Linked DNA regions of Drosophila melanogaster. The protein of the gene in region 2 interacts with the protein of the main gene of each other region in a biochemical or structural test. Each region holds a gene or a part of one and is shown on either strand. Other genes may lie near its edges.

Region 1 (4,749 bases), on a different chromosome or scaffold from region 2:
TATTTCCTGGTTTATAAGACTTTCACTAAATCGAGACTTATCACAGCAGCGATATAAAGTTATTAAATATTGATTTAAATTTTAGTTGAACATTCCGCGATGGAAACTGATAAGGAAAAACAAAGCGATGAGCTCATGAATCGCATTCGGAACGAGCTTACAGCTATATTATCTCAAGAGTAAGTTATCAAGTTACCCAATATATATATATATATATAAAAGAAGAAAAAAATCAATCCATTTATAATCCTACAACAGGGCTGCTGATGATTCCGACAAGGAGGCGTCACAGGAACTGCTCCTGAGTCCCAATCCGCTGCCCATTTTCGGGCCCATAAGGAAAACAAGGAAAGCAAAATCGAGGAGTTCCAAGAAGAACAATAGTAAGGCCTCCTCCTCGTCCGCTGGCAGTACAAAGAGTTCGTCGTCGGGTACCAGATCATCTGAAGATCGTTTAACTGGAGGTGGAGCCCAGGAGAAGCCATCGGATCCGGTCTCCACATCCTCGAGCTATTCGCTAAGATCAGGATATGACGCTCCGCCCGTGGAGGCCAGTGCCCGTGCCGACTTCCTTGAATCGCAAGCGGCCAAAAGCATCGACGAAGATGTCCGGAAGATGCAGCTGGAGCTCAAGCAGAGCTACGAACTCTTCCAGGGCATTGGCGAGAAATTGGAGTCGGTTAGCTTCACGGGCTTGAAGGACCGCATACGGGACCTGCACCTAAACGAATCCAACAACGAGTTGGGCAAAGCGACGACTGCAGAGCTTCAGATGATGTTCGACCAGCGTTTCCTGCAAAATCGCCTGGACAAGCTATCCACGGACGCCACGCAGGGATTCCGTCGGCATCCCGGCGAATTCGGCGACATACCCGAGCTGAGCACCTTCTTCCAGGCATGCACTCAGTTGGAACGCGGACTGGATGCACTGCGTCAGCAGCGGCGGCGCAACAGCGAGCTGGAGAAGCGTCTGTGCTGGGCCACCGAAATCGCATACGATCGCATGGACGAGATTCGCAATGCGGTTGGCTCGGATCCGGAAAAGAACTTCTGAATTGGTGACCTGTAGTTACATTTTTGGTTCACCCTAAGGTTCATTACCCGCACACAAACACACACACAGGCAAACACGCACAGGTGCAATACATATGCGTTTATCCCACACCCATAGGCGATGCAATAATTGATTGTGTTATCTTCTGGGCCGCAGCTGGGTTGTTACTCACCCGAGTCCGTGTACCAGCTGCCTGCATGGGTTGCTCTTCTGGCCGACATTTTGTGCGAGATCCCTAATCGGTCTGTTTAGTTAGTAAGAGCTATTAACTGGCCGTTACTTGTAGAAAAAACGAGTTCTTTGTTATTGGTACAGCAGTGTGACCGTCGTCTTGTTTTTGAAATAAACACGTTCTCTGGATTCGCTGATCAGCGGTCACACTTCTTCAGGGCTGCATTAAGTACTTAAATATCGTTTTTTTTTTGGTATAATCATATATACCATTAATACTTTTTTATTATTCTAAATAATAAATCACACAAATAAAATACAATACATAAGGTAACGTAATTTTATTTAAGTGTTGTTTTTTATTAATTTCCATAAATGAAATCGCATAACATATACAACTGAAACTCACGGAAGTCGAAAGTCGGAATTCTGCAATACCAACATTTCAAACTATACCATAATTCTTGCAGTTTGCCTGCGCGCACCGAGGTATTTTCGAACGACCCGTGTGCGGTCACACTGTTCGCATAGCGTCATTGCTGTACTAAAACCTAAAAATCCGCCGTGTTCGTATTCCGCCATTTTGAAAGCTGCGAGTGGAATTTGGACGCGTTGCTGGTAAATTAATTGTGGGAAAACTGCCCAAAAAGTGCATAAAATTTGTGAAAAGTGGTCGGCAACGGTGCATGAGACCCGCCGCCAAGTGTTTGTCCCCGAAAATTGTGTGTGGCCGCGTTTTTGGCACGTGAATTTCTTGCCCAATTGTGAACTCGCAAAAAAAGAAAAAGAAAAGAGAGAAGAAAACCGACGCCGCCGTCGCCGCCGCCACAAAGGAATAGGCGAATAAGCGAGAGAAAAAAAGGCGAAAACGAGAGCTGAAAATCAAATTGTGCGCCGCTGATTGCGTTTCAGCTATTTAATAATACCACAATCGAAAATCCGCGGCAGCGGCGATTTTTCCACGGATTACTACACCATATATTTCCCATTTGCCTTTCCGTTTGCAACGAGTGTGCGCCTGTGCCTGTGTGCGTGCGTGTGTGTGAGTGTGCGATAAACGTGTACAAGAAAAATTTAAACGTGCAGAATTCTGATGAATTTTAAAGCGGAACTGCTATTGCCTGTATAGGTGATGCGGGTGTGCGTGTGTGGGTACGCACACACACATGACCAAGTATTGTTGCGGTTTAATGCAAAAGTCGAGTGAGTGCGTGTGTGAGTGAGTGAGAGAGAGAGAGAGAGAGCAATGCCTGCCATATTCTATGCAAAACATAAATAAAATTGTGCAATAATTTCCCCGCACACGCACACAGCCACAGATACATACACTCTCTTTGTAATTTATATTTTTTTCCGCCCGCCTAGTGACAATACACACGCAAGGTTCACTGCGCAACGTCCCCCTTTTCTCAAGCACCCCCCTTTTGCCCACGCCACTGCAACATGCTGTCTCATCGTTGTTGTTTTGCCGCCGCCACATTTGGTGCGACAGAGAGAGAAAGAGCGAGCTAGCGCGAGTGCAAGAGAAAGGGTGGGAGGGAGAGGCCAAAAGCAACGAGTTTGAAAACCAACTAAAGCCTCATGTTGACACATTTCAACCGGGAGTTTTCGTTCTTTCGCTCGGATTAAAAGCCTTTAAAGGGTGAAAGTGCTGCTTATCGTTTCTTCTTCGCGAACTAAAGCTTTAAAAGTATAAATAGCTTTTATTTCCTGCGCCCGCATATTGATTGCAAATTACAAGCGCACACACTTACTCAACAACCGTTGCGATTGTTTGTTTGTGTGTGTTTATGCCGATTTGAATACACAACCAAGTGAAAAAGTTTGATCAACTTACGAATGTCCATTCAAATTGATGCTTGTTTCTAGTTTTCTTACAATTTTTGCGCTTGTCGTGTTTTTGTCATAGCTTCTTCTATCTCTATCGCTCTCTCTCTTCTCTCTTGTTCGTTCGCCCTTTCACTGTTCGACGTGCCTGTACCCATCACACACATACAAACGTATACGTCATACACACACACACACGCACACATGAAGAGGCAGACAGACAAGCAACTCTGGGCTCCCCCCTCCCTAAACCTCTCCCCTCCCAGCCACATACTGCCGCACTTGCAACGGGAATGTTGTTGGTATTGCTCGCAGTGCTCAAAACTCCGAAGAGGATTACAAATGGTGTTTTTGTTTTTGCCCAAAAACGGAAATACAGACAAACTTCTGCCACATAAAGAGTTCAAATTATAGCGACTGTTAGTTGTTTAGTCATTTGTTGTATTCCCCGCAACTTTTTGCGCACTTTTGGGGTATCTAGACTGATTACAAACCCTTAAAAGCAGCAGGCACAATTGAAATTATTGATTGCCTTAAAGTTAAAGTTAATTGCGGTTATGAAATTTTTGGCTAATTGTTCGTCATTGGGCAAAAATGAAATGCTGAGGAATTTGCTTTATAAAAACACTTAAATTTATAGTTATTAGCCACTGAATTTGTATTGCAGTCGTTAAGAATTCTTCCTACCCAATGTAGTTTTCGCTATAGAATAAATAGAAATATGGAAATATGTGGCAGAGAGAGCCGCTTTTCCCGTTTCCACTTCAATATTTGCATTGCCATGGAATTTTCTATATATATAGTCCATCGATAACTGTACATGTTGCTGAATTTGTTGTTACTAGTTTTTTTGGCGCAACAACGTTTTCCGCTTCTTGTCACTGCCCTTTTTTGGCAAATAATAAATTTGATTGTGTATGGGCTGCCCACTCCCACTAGCTAACGGTTATTTATTGTCAATGCCAGGCGATGCCGCCCACTGCCACGCCTCGTACGACCCCCCCCCCCAATCCGTTTGATGCTCTGTGTTTTTGCGCAATGTTTGTTGTTGTGTGTTTGCCGCCGACTGCGCGCGTGAAAAAATGCACACCTGCCCAAAGAATTTCACACTTGGTGGTGCACGGGGCGCAAAACAAAGCGAAAGCAGCCACCAAAATAGCAGGCAAACGTTTAAATTTAAACACAAAAGTCCGAGGAACTAAAATTCGACCAGAAACACAATGGCAGCCATGTGTGCCTCATATTCTTGTATTTTTTTTCTGCGCTCTATCTCTATCGATCTGAAAGGCAAATACAACGCAATTCGGTTGATGGTACAGGCTCTAATACCCTTAAAGCTAAATTGTCCAAGTTATAAATTTGTTGAAAATGAATGATAGTTTACAAATTCGGATGTCTTTCATCTATTCAGCGGTGGAAAGATGTATTTTGGCCAGCTAATCGTTGCATGTTTGATGGCAAACCTTTCGCCATATCTGCTATACTCCTGCGCAAGCACTTTTCAAATGAAAACAGAAAACACACACTTTCAGATGGCTCAGCCAAATTCGTCCAAAACAACAGATGCAGCGATATGGCAACAATAATAAATAGAAATAGCCAAGCAGCCGCAAAACGCAGAATCAGCAATTCGTAAGCGTGCGAGGCAATAATATATACATATATATATATATATAAATTGTATTTCATTTGATTTT
Region 2 (6,967 bases):
TTCTTTTACTCGCTTTGATACTATTCTAGTTTAGTGATTGCCGACAAAGTCATTAACGATAAGGCCCGGATCTTATTAAAATCTGTTGAGCTTAAGTGGATCTTTCAATATCAAGCCTCTGCTTATCACGCAAACAACCAAAAAAAATTTCTGACTAATCGCCGAAACATAGGAATCGTATGAAGATTTTCTAAAACCGGTCAGCTCAGCCCGAAATTTAAGAATTTCTTATCAATAGGGTCAGTTTTAAGCGCTTTGCTTGCATATTATTTAATGCCTTCTGCGAATTTTGTTTTGGTGAAAAACTTTCTATGAAGTCGAACATTCGATGACAAAACCATTATAATTTTACGTAACATTATGCAGAGCAAGGATATTTGTGTGCCTTTCTGCTTTTGTTTGGTTTCACTTTCTTAAAATCCACGGTAGTTCAAATTTACCACCCGGTGAGCTCTGAGCGTCCTTGGCCTACCTACAAAACCAAAAATACCGATTTTCAACATAAATTTAACATAGCATGTCCTTGCCATAAAAATCTACATAAAACCATTTAAAAGTCAATCCGCAAAAGTCACAGAAAACGTCTATACAAGCAAGAAAATTTCAACGATGCAGCTCTCTTACAATTTTTTATTATATTTCCTTTCTACCTGAATCCGTTTTTTACTAGTTCCTTTTTACGATTTCTTTTTTAGACGTGTGCCAATAATTAGTTGTCCATTAAACTGAACTTCCACGTCTTTGAGACTTTGCTCAACAGGCTACAAGGAAGACAAAAAACTCACTCAGTATAGCTGGTAAAAAACCGTCGACCTTCTTTCTTACTTTCTGCACTCCTTAAGCCGATGTTTTGTTTACTTCCTGTTTACTCGTACAGCGCACGCTTGAAATTCAACCCCGTCCGTGACATCTCTTTTCATGAATTTTGGCTCTTTTGCTCTCGCTGTTTCATTTTCGCCCTGTTCTCCATTGGCGTTCATCCCCCTTAGACACATTAGTTATTTTCTATAGCTCAAATGTAAAAAGGGGAAATGACAAAGGCACATCTGAGTGAGTTTTTGTTGTGCGTCCCTTACTAACTCTAAAAACTTCTACGTGATCTTTATGTGGTGTAATATTCCTGCAAGTGCAGTTTTTATGAAGGCTCTAAAAAACACAAGCGGAAGTGGTCATAAGCATTAAAAAATGTCCTTTAACGGTCAACACATAGTTCTGATTTTTTATGTTTTATTACTGACTAGAAACGTAAAGGTCATAAAACCCTCTACTCAGCGAAGATAATTCGCATCGACAACCTATGTTAAAAAACCACATCGTCCATATTTGACTCTAACTGACTATATATCTTTTGCATTGAAAGGAACCTCTAGCTGTCTCATTCGCACCAATTTGCATATGAAAAATTAGCACTTTTAGGTATAAAAAGGAATCGATGAAATCAACTCACTCAACTCAGCGAAGTACCCAGTTTTTACTTTACCTGCTCAGGCTTGGGGATCGTTTTTCGCTTTCGCCGTGATGATTTCCCTTCCTGTCTGCACCCTTATTTGCGTGCGTGTGAGCGGGAGAGCCAATTGAGTCCCGGCGTGTGTGCGTACGAGGGTGAGTGAGAATCTTTCGCCGAGACAGAGCGTACTTATAGTTAGCTCACGCAGCGAATTTGTATCAGTCGTGATTTGGCTCTGTCAGCGAAAGGAACAACCATTTGTTGTGCCACACACAACCGCGAGTAATATAATCGAATCAAATTTCAACTACCTCATTTTGCTAAATCGGTAAACTTTTATAAAAGACAATTTTTGTGAAATCTCTCTACCTCAAAGTACAAAAGTGTGTACAAAAATTATTCATATCCCTGAAAGTGCACAAATTGCTCAAATGAAATTTTGTTGTCTAAAAAACTGAAGCTCCAAAACCACGAAGGCGAATATTATAGGTGTTTTCTGTGTGCGGGAAAACATTGCGCGAGCACAAAATTAGGAGCACAAGAAGAATTTGTTGATGTCCATATCAATGCTTCAAGACGCACAAACGCGAAGTAAGTATTAGACCAAATTAAAATATTCCCCAAGTTTGTAAACTATCTAGAAGTTCTAGAGTCCCCGATCACTTTCTCATTATTAAACAGTCCGATGTCTTTAGGATAGAAAATACAAATGTAATGTAATTGCACACATACCGATTAGTTAGAATTTGTTTACATGTTTGGACAGGAACCGGCACTTAACTCGTTATCGACCAAAACAAAAACTAGTTAGACGAAAATAGAGAGCTGCGAAAACACTAAGAGTTCTCTCCGTACGAAACTTTCTCTCACACATGTATCATATGTAAAATTTTTTTCTCTTTTAAGCCGTTGCTCTTAAGACATTTCCAAATGAAAACATACTAACTTATGATTTTTTTTTTAGCCTTAGCTGCTGCATTAGCTGGCATAAAACAAGAGGACGTTCATCTAGACCGTTCCATGTCGCTATCGCCCCCCATGTCGGCCAACACATCAGCTACAAGCGCCGCTGCGATTTATCCAGCTATGGGTCTCCAACAGGCGGCCGCTGCCTCAGCTTTTGGAATGCTCTCACCTACCCAACTTCTGGCTGCAAACCGTCAAGCTGCCGCATTCATGGCCCAACTGCCCATGAGCACATTGGCCAACACTCTCTTTCCACACAATCCGGCGGCTTTGTTTGGGGCTTGGGCTGCCCAACAGTCGCTCCCGCCCCAGGGTACGCATTTACATTCGCCGCCAGCCAGCCCGCACTCGCCGCTGTCCACTCCTTTAGGTAGTGGCAAGCACCCATTAAATTCCCCCAACAGCACTCCCCAGCACCATGAGCCAGCGAAGAAGGCTCGAAAGTTATCGGTTAAGAAGGAGTTTCAGACCGAGATCAGCATGAGTGTAAACGATATGTACCATACATCGGGAGGCCCAATATCTCCGCCTTCCAGTGGCAGCTCTCCTAATTCAACGCACGACGGAGCGGGTGGAAATGCTGGATGTGTCGGTGTCTCCAAGGATCCATCTCGCGACAAAAGCTTCACCTGTAAAATCTGCTCACGCAGCTTTGGCTATAAGCACGTGCTTCAGAACCACGAACGCACCCACACCGGTGAGAAGCCTTTCGAATGTCCGGAGTGCCACAAGCGGTTTACTCGTGACCATCACTTAAAAACCCACATGCGTTTGCATACTGGAGAAAAACCATATCATTGCTCGCACTGCGATCGTCAATTCGTTCAGGTGGCCAATCTTAGACGACATTTGCGAGTCCACACTGGAGAGCGTCCCTATACTTGTGAAATCTGCGATGGCAAATTCAGTGACTCCAATCAGCTTAAGTCCCACATGCTGGTACACAACGGTGAAAAGCCGTTCGAGTGCGAACGGTGTCACATGAAGTTCCGACGGCGCCACCATCTGATGAATCACAAGTGTGGCATCCAGTCGCCGCCTACTCCCGCGCTTTCACCGGCCATGAGTGGAGATTACCCCGTGGCAATCTCCGCAATTGCTATCGAGGCATCCACGAATAGATTTGCGGCAATGTGTGCCACCTACGGAGGTTCGAATGAGTCGGTCGACATGGAAAAAGCGACACCGGAGGACGATGGTCCATTGGATTTGTCTGAAGATGGAGCCAGCTCTGTGGATGGCCATTGCAGCAACATCGCACGGCGCAAGGCACAGGACATTCGTCGGGTTTTCCGGCTGCCTCCACCGCAAATCCCTCACGTACCCAGTGATATGCCTGAGCAAACCGAGCCAGAGGATTTGAGCATGCACTCTCCTCGCTCTATCGGATCTCACGAGCAAACCGATGATATTGACTTGTATGATTTAGATGATGCCCCGGCTTCTTATATGGGCCATCAACAACATTAGGCCAGTACCACACCGAATTGTACATAGCCCTAATCAGTTTTCATTTGATGAAATTGACTGGCATTTATTAACACAAAATTGAAAATTTTGCTATTTCAAAGTGGAAAGTAAAAATTGTTGCAACAGGAATATAATGATAAGTACAAGTTTAAAAAAAAATAACATACAAAAAAGTCGAAATTGTACAAAGTAAGCCATACCGTATGCTTGTTACCGCCAAACCCCACCAAATCAAATCGAAAATGTCGTGCCATTCTTTACCTTAAATTTAAGTTATATTCTTAGGTTCGGAATCTTAAATTGTACATATTCAGCTTACACAGCTGCCAATTGTAAAGTAATCGGCGCTCTAAACATGCATTGTTGCAGAAAAATAAAAGACACGAAGTTTAATTAGGAAATCTATAACTAATTTTATTTAATTTATTAGCTTAATTTTTTATAATTTAATCAAATTCTTTAAGAAAACAATGCCAATAATCTTCAAATCAAAACTAACTTTAAGTTAAATAATAAAAAACATTTGTTTGATAATTGTTCTGTTTGCATTCTCTATTTAAAACTATTATTAAATATAAAAATTTAGTTAATCCTGTTTTTTTAAAGATCATTCTTAAATGTACACTTTTATATTTATACTTCAATAAATATTTGGTTTAATTGTTGCTGCTTCAAATATAAACAATAAAGAAAAAAGAAAATCAATGGTAACGTTAATATTTAACTGATTCCGCTTTTATTTCATATTGCCATAACTTAAACACAGTTTACGCATCCATTTTTGAAAATCTTTTTTTTTTTGTTGCAAACTATAAGAAACGTTAATATATATTCCAAAATAATAACCTAATGTAGATCAATGCGTATCGAAAGTATAGTAATCCCACTTATCTTAACACTCGTAACTATTAGTTTTAATTGTAAGACTTGAACCAAATACACAGGAAGAAATTGCTATAACCAAATACCTCCAATACCTCTGTATCGAAATTGTTGTGAGCTAAACAGTATATACATTCAACAATTTGGCAATCGTACAATTCAACTGAATTTATATACAAGACTTAGGAATATAAACTACGAAGCATAAACAATTTATATGTATTAAAATTTTGATGCATATTTAAATGGACCTAAAATAAGAAATTAATTTTAAATACTAGGCCAATTCAAATTACATATAAAAGTATATAAGGTTGTATATAACAATAACAATTTGAAATAAATTTAGTGCAATTTTTCGTTCTATTCATTGGTAAGCTTACTGCTTTTATTTTAAAACGTTGTAGTCATAATAATGTAACAAATTAATATGTAATTTTCTTTGTTCATTCAAATGTATGGTATACAAGTTCCTCAAGATTAAAAGAATACAAGAGCTATAAACTAAAATAGAGAGTGCATTTCTAATCATTTGAAAGTCAGCGCACGAAAGACATCATATTAATTGTGTACAGCAACATTCGACGTTTAACCCAATAGATATAATTAAATTTATAAAATCACAAGTCAATTTTTATGTAAATAAATTATAATCCTAATTGTGGCTAGGGATGTGCAATGTATCAAAAAATAAGAGTTATATGTGTTAATTAGGGGGTTGCTAATTTTAACCCTTTAAAGACATACACACATACACCTTGTAAAATACGTCAGTAAATATAAACTAGAAAATGTATTTTATGGTACATGATTGCATTAGATATGTCAGTCTAGCATATAGTAAACGAAACTGTTACTTTTTGTCATAACTATTTCTTCTCTAATTTAATGTTCTACCTATATCAATAATAAATACATATGTATACATCGGCAAATATGTATTTATTACATAAAAATCGAAATATATTATGTTAAATTTAAAAATTGCTGTCTGGGAAACCAAAAATAAATGAATATAAATATATATATGTATATATATGTATATACATATGAGATAATTGTGTAAAGCAAAAAATATTCGTAGCAACCCCGCTTTAGAAAATTACCCACAGCTTTCTTCGATTTTTCGTAAAAGAGAAAACGGGCAGCATTACATAAATTTTTAATTTATGCAAACGAAGCCCTTTCGCATTATTTTACATTTGCCACAAGACGCCCCACTAATGCCGTCGCCACGTTCCTCCCCACGTCACCCCCTTTATTCATCCATCCCTTCACTGGAATTTAAATTTACGTCTGCAGGCAACGGCAGCAGCTGAGCAAAAACGAATATAAAAATCGCGCCGCGCAGTCAGAAAATGTCACAGTGTTTTTTCCATTTAATCTCCAGAGAGAGAGAGCAAACATCTACAATGCTATGAAAGAAAGTCGACGCCACCCACTCATACCAATCGCCTCCCGTTCAGCCATGCCGCGGAACTGACGCCTTCTCTTCTTTGTGCCCCTTTCAACAGCCAAAAAAGGCTTCATCCTGGCAGCCCCCTCTATATAAAATTGTATGTACAAGTATTACATAAAGAACGTCTTATGTACTTACACACGTACATATATAAAACGGAGTAAAAGAGTGAGACGCAGGACAAATGCTCACGTTTTGTGATGCTTATTAGCATTTTAGGCTTTTTTCGCTTAGACTTCTGTAAACATACTCTATGAGCGTATACGTAAATAAAAACAATTCAATAATTAAAAAGTTAAACGTAATGTTAGCCAAATAAACCTTATGCTAAAACTGTTTACCCTAATTTTACCAATAAAAGCTTATTATAAATAAGTTAAAAGAAGAAACGGGAATAAACTGGTAATTGCCAGTTTTATAGTGTAGATAGGTACGTATATCTTATTCGAACCCCCAATCCTCACCCTCAAAAGCTTTTTTTTTAGCTGCCGAGTAAATAGTTTGGTGTTGGACATAGAAAACTTTCAAATGAGTTTACGATTTTTTTAAATATTTCGTGTTCCGCAAAGGAATGAAAAATAAAAGGCCTTGAAAATGAATTTAAGGCCTTCGCTGGCAAAGAACCGCCGACGCACCCAACTTACTGTCGTTATTATTTAAACTGAAAAATTATAATTTTTACCAGCAGACTTCTGCTCACAAATTCTAAGACTGGCGCTTATCCAAGAAAGACATTATTATAA
Region 3 (5,821 bases), on a different chromosome or scaffold from region 2:
ACCACCACAGCCTATGGCCAGGCCACGCCCTAAGCCTGTCCAGCCGCGTCCCATCATTGATCAAAATCAGCTACAGGACGATCACGTTGACCAGCAGCAGCAGCGTCGCCGTCAGCCCGTTTCCCAGACCATTCGCAAGTGGCGTGAGGAAAACGAGGACGGAAGCATCACATGGGGCTATGAGAACGACGACGGATCTTTCAAGGAGGAGCTGATCGGCACCGATTGCATCACCAAGTGAGTAAAACAGATTGAATCCAACCTCTTTCTCCCACTTACCCAAACTTCTCGTTCACCAGGGGAACCTATGGCTACGTTGATCCAGATGGCAACAAACGTGAGTACCACTATGAGACTGGAATCAAGTGCGATCCTAACAACCGCAACAACGAGGAAGAGCTACAAGAGAACGGGTTCGTCAACTACGAAGAGAATCGCGCCGTGCTGCCCAATGGTCTGGAGATCGACATGACGCAGTTGGGCAAGAAGAAGTCGAAGCGCCCGAACGGCTTTTACAGGAACTGATACTCCCCACAACATATAGTCCCTTAAGTCAAGCAGCTCGTAGTTCGTCTTACTTGTATTCCACTTATAATTATGTTCATACTCCATTGAGTGTCAAGTGAAAGATTAAAATGATTAGAATAGATGAAAGTGAAGAATCAGTACGGACGCTGGCGCCTGGCGGTTGGCGGCAGTCGGTTGGGCGGAGTAATCGAGATGTCCAGAAAGTCTCCAATGCTGAATTTGGCCTGAGCAAGTGTCTTATTATCATCGATTCCTTTTTGACCCGTGCAGGTCACTCCGATTTCGCGCATCTGGAAGTGATTACTCCGGAAGTTGGGGTACACGACAGCAAAGTCAAAGTAGGTGCCCTTCTTCCGGGTGTCCGGATTGACGTCTCGCACCAGAGAGGTCAGTTCGTGCAGGGTGGCGTCTTGCCAGGTGTAAATCTGAAGCTCGTTGGTGGGCACGTTGCCGAACATATACTCCGACACGGAGTGGTGTCGTCCCGTAGAGCAGAAGACACGGAGCAGCATAGGACAGGTCTGGAAAATACATAAACTTATTAACACATCTAGAGCAAACGCGAAGTAAACATGACCGGGGTCACAAACAAACCTTCTCGCGGTCAATCTGCTTGACCTGCGTCTTTTCCTCCACAATCATAGATTCCACGTTGGCCATGTCTCCCTATTCTGCGGTATATCGTTACTAATTTTCTTAATTTTAATACAAAATGCACTTTTAATGCCGTATATTCCGGCTTCTCTTTGCTCTTTTCGATAACTATATAATCGAATGCAGCAATCCTATCGCACATCGCCGAGTGTGACCGCTTGTCGCATACTTATCGGGTTTTAGTTTAATCGATGTTTCCAGAAGCACCAAAATTCGCCGTTTCTCAGCTCTAGTCCGAAAACAAAATTCGCTGTGAGCGGTTGTGTCGTCGAACGTGAAACTACGCGTCTCCGCGAATGACGCAGACTGGAAGCTTCCACTGGCATGACAATCGTCTAAAAACATTCAACAATAGCGGTGCACTTGCAAATTACTGTTGCCGCAACAACAATAACAACTGCTTCGCTAAGCAGTAGCTGCGACCACAACAACAAGGAGGAGAGCAACAACAACGGTGGAGAAGAGCCGTTTGTTATTGGCGCATAAAAGCAGAATCGCAATTTGGCCACTGAATAGTTTCTAAAAACGGTGAGTACATTGTGGCAGCGGTCCATTTGCATACCGAATTGAGATTTGCACTTTTTGCAAGAGTTTCTTATGTAACGGCAACAGCAGCAGCAGCAGCAGCTGAGTTTTACGTGCAAATTGTTGCCGTTGCTTTGCTTGTGTTGGTGCCGCAGCGTCTGCGAAAAGTCACCCTCTTTGCAACCACCCTTCACCCCCCCTCATATTTCATTTATGCATCGCTCTCTCGCTCGATTTGTTTATAAACATTCAGGAATAAGCCGCTGCTAAATACTGAACTGTTTTTATCTCAAGAAGTACAAGGTTATCCCATCCCCAGCCACCCACTTTCGATCTCCTCATTTTTATGCATGCGCCATCATTTGCCGATAATAGTGCCATTCTGTTTGTTGTTCTAAATGTTCTAGTTATTGCAGTAGCGTGGAAGGTGTGGTCATATGGTGGTTTCTATTGTGTCAACAAGGAATCAGTTTCCCAAAAGCTGCATATTTGTTTTTATTTTTAGTCAAATACCAAGAAATAAGTCAATCCAGACATTTGATATTTTTAGAAACGGAATAAACCCCGTTTAAGTGCACAGAAACAGAATCTGTGATTACCCTGGTAAAAGAAAAACACTAGAAGGGGAAAATACCCCACTTGAATTAACCCCCTGCTAAAGGGTATTTTCGCTTCGGCGTGTCTGAATATTTTTAGTTGGCTCGTGTTTTAAAGTCCTCGAATCCACTCCCACCTCGTTGATCCTGCAGCAGCTGTTTTTGCCACAGTTCCTGCTGCTCTTGCGTGGGAGCAGAATGTTTGTTGTTCCTGCTGTTGTTATTGAATCCCCCCTCCCCCCCCTTCGTCCTTGGCCATTGTTCTGTGGACTCGTTTTGGCCGGAGCGGAGGGGTTGCAGCCGTGACCGTGACTGACTGCCCGTAACCCCAGCAACGACCACATAGTGGACGATGTTATTGTTATCGCATACTTTGGTAACCAGTGCACTGTGGTCGGGATGACCAATATGAAGTAAGACGCATTAAAGCTGTTTCTTTAGTCACTTTAAAAAATGAAAAATTTATAAAGATAATACTCAGCAATACTTCTGCGACAAATTCACATTCGTAAATTATTCAAATTTGACAAAACAACGGAATGTTTAAAAACTTTATAGTCTTTTTAAGTTAGAATAAGTCTTAAGTTCTAGAAAGACCCCACGAAGTTGAAGAAAATGTACTTTAAGTGAAGTAAGTCTTCAGTGGCTTCAGTGGAATCGTATGTACTCGAATCGGAAGGTGGGTAAAGATGTGAACAATAAAGTAATATGTTTTTCGAAATTAAATTCCGCCCACTGTCCGTGTTCGTTGCTGCGGCTGCTGGCTGAATTTTAAACGTGCCAAGTCCTTGGTTGTAAACTGAAGACGTGCGGTGTGGGGCGATTTGTTGCCACTGTTGCGGTCGCTTTGTTGCTGCCGCCTTACTTCGTTTTCGTTATTTTTTCTCAAATATTAATTGCTTTGAGCAACAGTAGAAGCCCTTGGCTACTGCTCCAAACCCAATCACTTCGAATTTCCGAAAATTCCCCAAGCAGCAGCACAACGAGTTTGGAAAAGTGGCAAGGCGAAGCAGACGTAACCGAAAGCAATAAATTCACAAATGCAAATAAAATGCGAGCTTTGCTTCAACTCCTGTTCTGTATACATATGTATTTGATTCTATTTTTTACCCGGCCAGTTGACAGGGGCGTGTGCGTGGGCGTTTCTACTGCCAGCCGCACAACACAATGTCCTGGGTGTAAGTCTCGACCTTGGCTTTGCATAGCGACCTTTCGCCAATGCCACAATATATCCCCATTCCTACCCATATCCCTATTCCCCGAATGCCCAGTGGTGCCCACTTGTTTGTAGCGAGGACAGATTTACTTGCCATTTCCAATCCGGGGAATCCATTTCGCAGCCAGCTGTTCAGACTTTCAGATAAAGTGCACGCTTAAGAGAATCATGACAAATTAATGCTTGTGAATGAAGTGGCAAATCATCGTTTCATGGCCAAAAAGGTCGTATTCGAAGAAGATCTAGAATTAGATATTGGAAAGAACCTGCAGCAGATGGCTCATATTAGAAATATCTAAGAAATGTGGCTGGTTATTAACGTATAATTCCATTAGGGTCTTGAGCACTATTGTATATGTCGGCGAAACAGGAGTCTCATCCATATTATTTATTCACTTCGCGATTTTGTACGTCAGCGCAGCAAGTTCCGATCGACGTCAGCAGTCAAACTTCACTGAAGGGATCTTCTTACATGTCCCTTCTTCATCATATTCTCTAATGGCTATACACACTGGCGTGTGCCACATTGTCATCTCTCTCTAACACACTATTTATGACCACTCGATCGGACCTCACTCAGCTGCAGAGGCTGTTCGTGCCTCTGCCGCAGCGCTCGACAGAATTTTACCGCAATATTACAATTTCATCAGAATATGAAATCACAGAAGGAATTTCTGGAATGCGAAGAGTCGCGCTCCGACATATACAATCATGCTGATAATAACATTGATTTTATTGCACATTTAATTGCCTTACATTGTATTACACTTTCTAGCAGTATTCAAGATTATCTCCTATTATTTATAGCAATTTGTTAGTTGTTACTCATGCATAATGGCGACTTAATATTATATTTTAAAATTGTTTTTTTCTTATGTTAATCTGGATTACCACCCCACTTCGTGATTAATTCTGAGCGGAGAACAAAAACACTCTGATAAATTAAGTTGTAAACAACTACTTTCGAAAAGCAATTAAAAAATTTATTTACAGTATTTCACGATAAGGCGAATAACAAAACCATTAACTTGTTAATGTGCCGGTACAAACTATTTCCTCTAAAATGTTATCAGTTATCTGATTACGGGTTGATGTGATTGATTCCAAATATAAGTTGTTAAAGATTGAGTTATTTTAAGAATACCCGCTGATAACATTTCCTTTTGTGAAATTTATTGAACGGTCGTTCAATAAAGAATTGCCGAGAGCATTCTGATTACCATTCTGCTGCAAAAAACACTCGAAAACAACCCGTCTTTAAGAGACTGCAAAAGGCCAAGGAAAGATCACTCGTCTGTGCCTTTGATTGCGAACGACCACTGAATCGATGGGAGAAAGATATGGGAGTGCGTATATGTGGCCAGAAAATTATGTATACGCAGCGTTTCCTCATTGAGAGGCGCTGCTGACGCAAAATAAATGAAACGATTTTAAAATAAAAGCAACTCATAATTTTTGCCCCTACGATTGGTGCCTGTGTTGTCGCGTCTGTTGTCCATTTTATGCTATTTCTGTTTGCGTTCGCTTTTGTTTTGTTTTCCATCTTCTTGCCTTTTTGCCAGGGTTTTGCCAATTGATGAATTGAATACGTACAGACCGCTGCCGTCGGCTCTTTCGTCAATTGGCTTGACTGGATCTAGCTGCAGTTTGCACTGACGTCACGTCCCAAAAGCAAAAGTGCCCCTAACTCACTTAACACATCGGCCTGATTGGCAGCGACGTCGATTCCATTCGACTGTATATGCGCGCATACGTATGTTCTGCTTGACTTGAGGTATACTTGAGTTGTAAATGTCTCAATTAACCATAGTAACAATAGCCAAATGTTATCTATGGAGTCTAAATACGTCCATTTGGTGCGTCAGTGGGGACTGTCGTCGCGATAAGAAGCGAATCGAGGGAACTACCGTGGCCATGATTTACGATAACCAGCGGGTTTCAACCGGTTGAACTCAACATTGAACTGCTGATAACACTTGCTTAAAAGCGATTTATTGGAATATTTGCTGAACAGGATTTTAATTCCTTCCTTGCTTGGAAGCAAGAACCACTGTAAACTTTTGGTAATCTCTTCATCCTACCCAAATCACCGAATTTCGGCAGCACATGTCGGCGATGGCGGCTCCTAATAGAAATCGCTTTTGCATAGCCAAGTTGGCCCAAACTATTTTCATGTCAAAGCGCTGACAAGACGGGCGCACACAGAAACCTACAGATACACAGATACATTTGCACTTGGAGCCGCACAGTTGCGAGTGACAGTCGACAACAAAGGGGCTGGTCGAATCAGTTTGAGTCTGAG

The links.
Region 1: the proteins of Kr (region 2) and CtBP form a complex in vitro, tested with the Drosophila melanogaster proteins (one study listed by BioGRID).
Region 3: the proteins of Kr (region 2) and Bin1 form a complex in vitro, tested with the Drosophila melanogaster proteins (one study listed by BioGRID).

Annotation. Positions count from the first base shown.
Region 1 is NT_033777.3:13,009,906-13,014,654, forward strand, and holds the start of CtBP (C-terminal binding protein), read left to right. Parts: upstream 1-1,743; 5' UTR 1,744-1,843; exon of another isoform or gene 1,844-2,267; intron 2,268-4,749. Other genes in the region: CG8031 (uncharacterized protein), read right to left, coding at 1,227-1,275; CG11656 (uncharacterized protein), read left to right, coding at 100-179, 259-1,054. UniProt on the Drosophila melanogaster protein: Corepressor targeting diverse transcription regulators. Hairy-interacting protein required for embryonic segmentation and hairy-mediated transcriptional repression.
Region 2 is NT_033778.4:25,224,951-25,231,917, forward strand, and holds Kr (kruppel), read left to right. Parts: upstream 1-1,660; 5' UTR 1,661-2,001; coding exon 2,002-2,038; intron 2,039-2,411; coding exon 2,412-3,883; 3' UTR 3,884-6,444; downstream 6,445-6,967. UniProt on the Drosophila melanogaster protein: Krueppel is a gap class segmentation protein. It is involved in the segmentation of the embryo and in the differentiation of the Malpighian tubules.
Region 3 is NT_033777.3:16,185,590-16,191,410, forward strand, and holds Bin1 (bicoid interacting protein 1), read right to left. Parts: upstream 3,976-5,821; 5' UTR 3,614-3,975; exon of another isoform or gene 1,518-3,613; 5' UTR 1,189-1,517; coding exon 1,123-1,188; intron 1,050-1,122; coding exon 663-1,049; 3' UTR 567-662; downstream 1-566. Other genes in the region: CG8927 (uncharacterized protein), read left to right, coding at 1-237, 300-525. UniProt on the Drosophila melanogaster protein: Involved in the tethering of the SIN3 complex to core histone proteins. Interacts with bicoid (bcd) to repress transcription of bicoid target genes in the anterior tip of the embryo; a process known as retraction.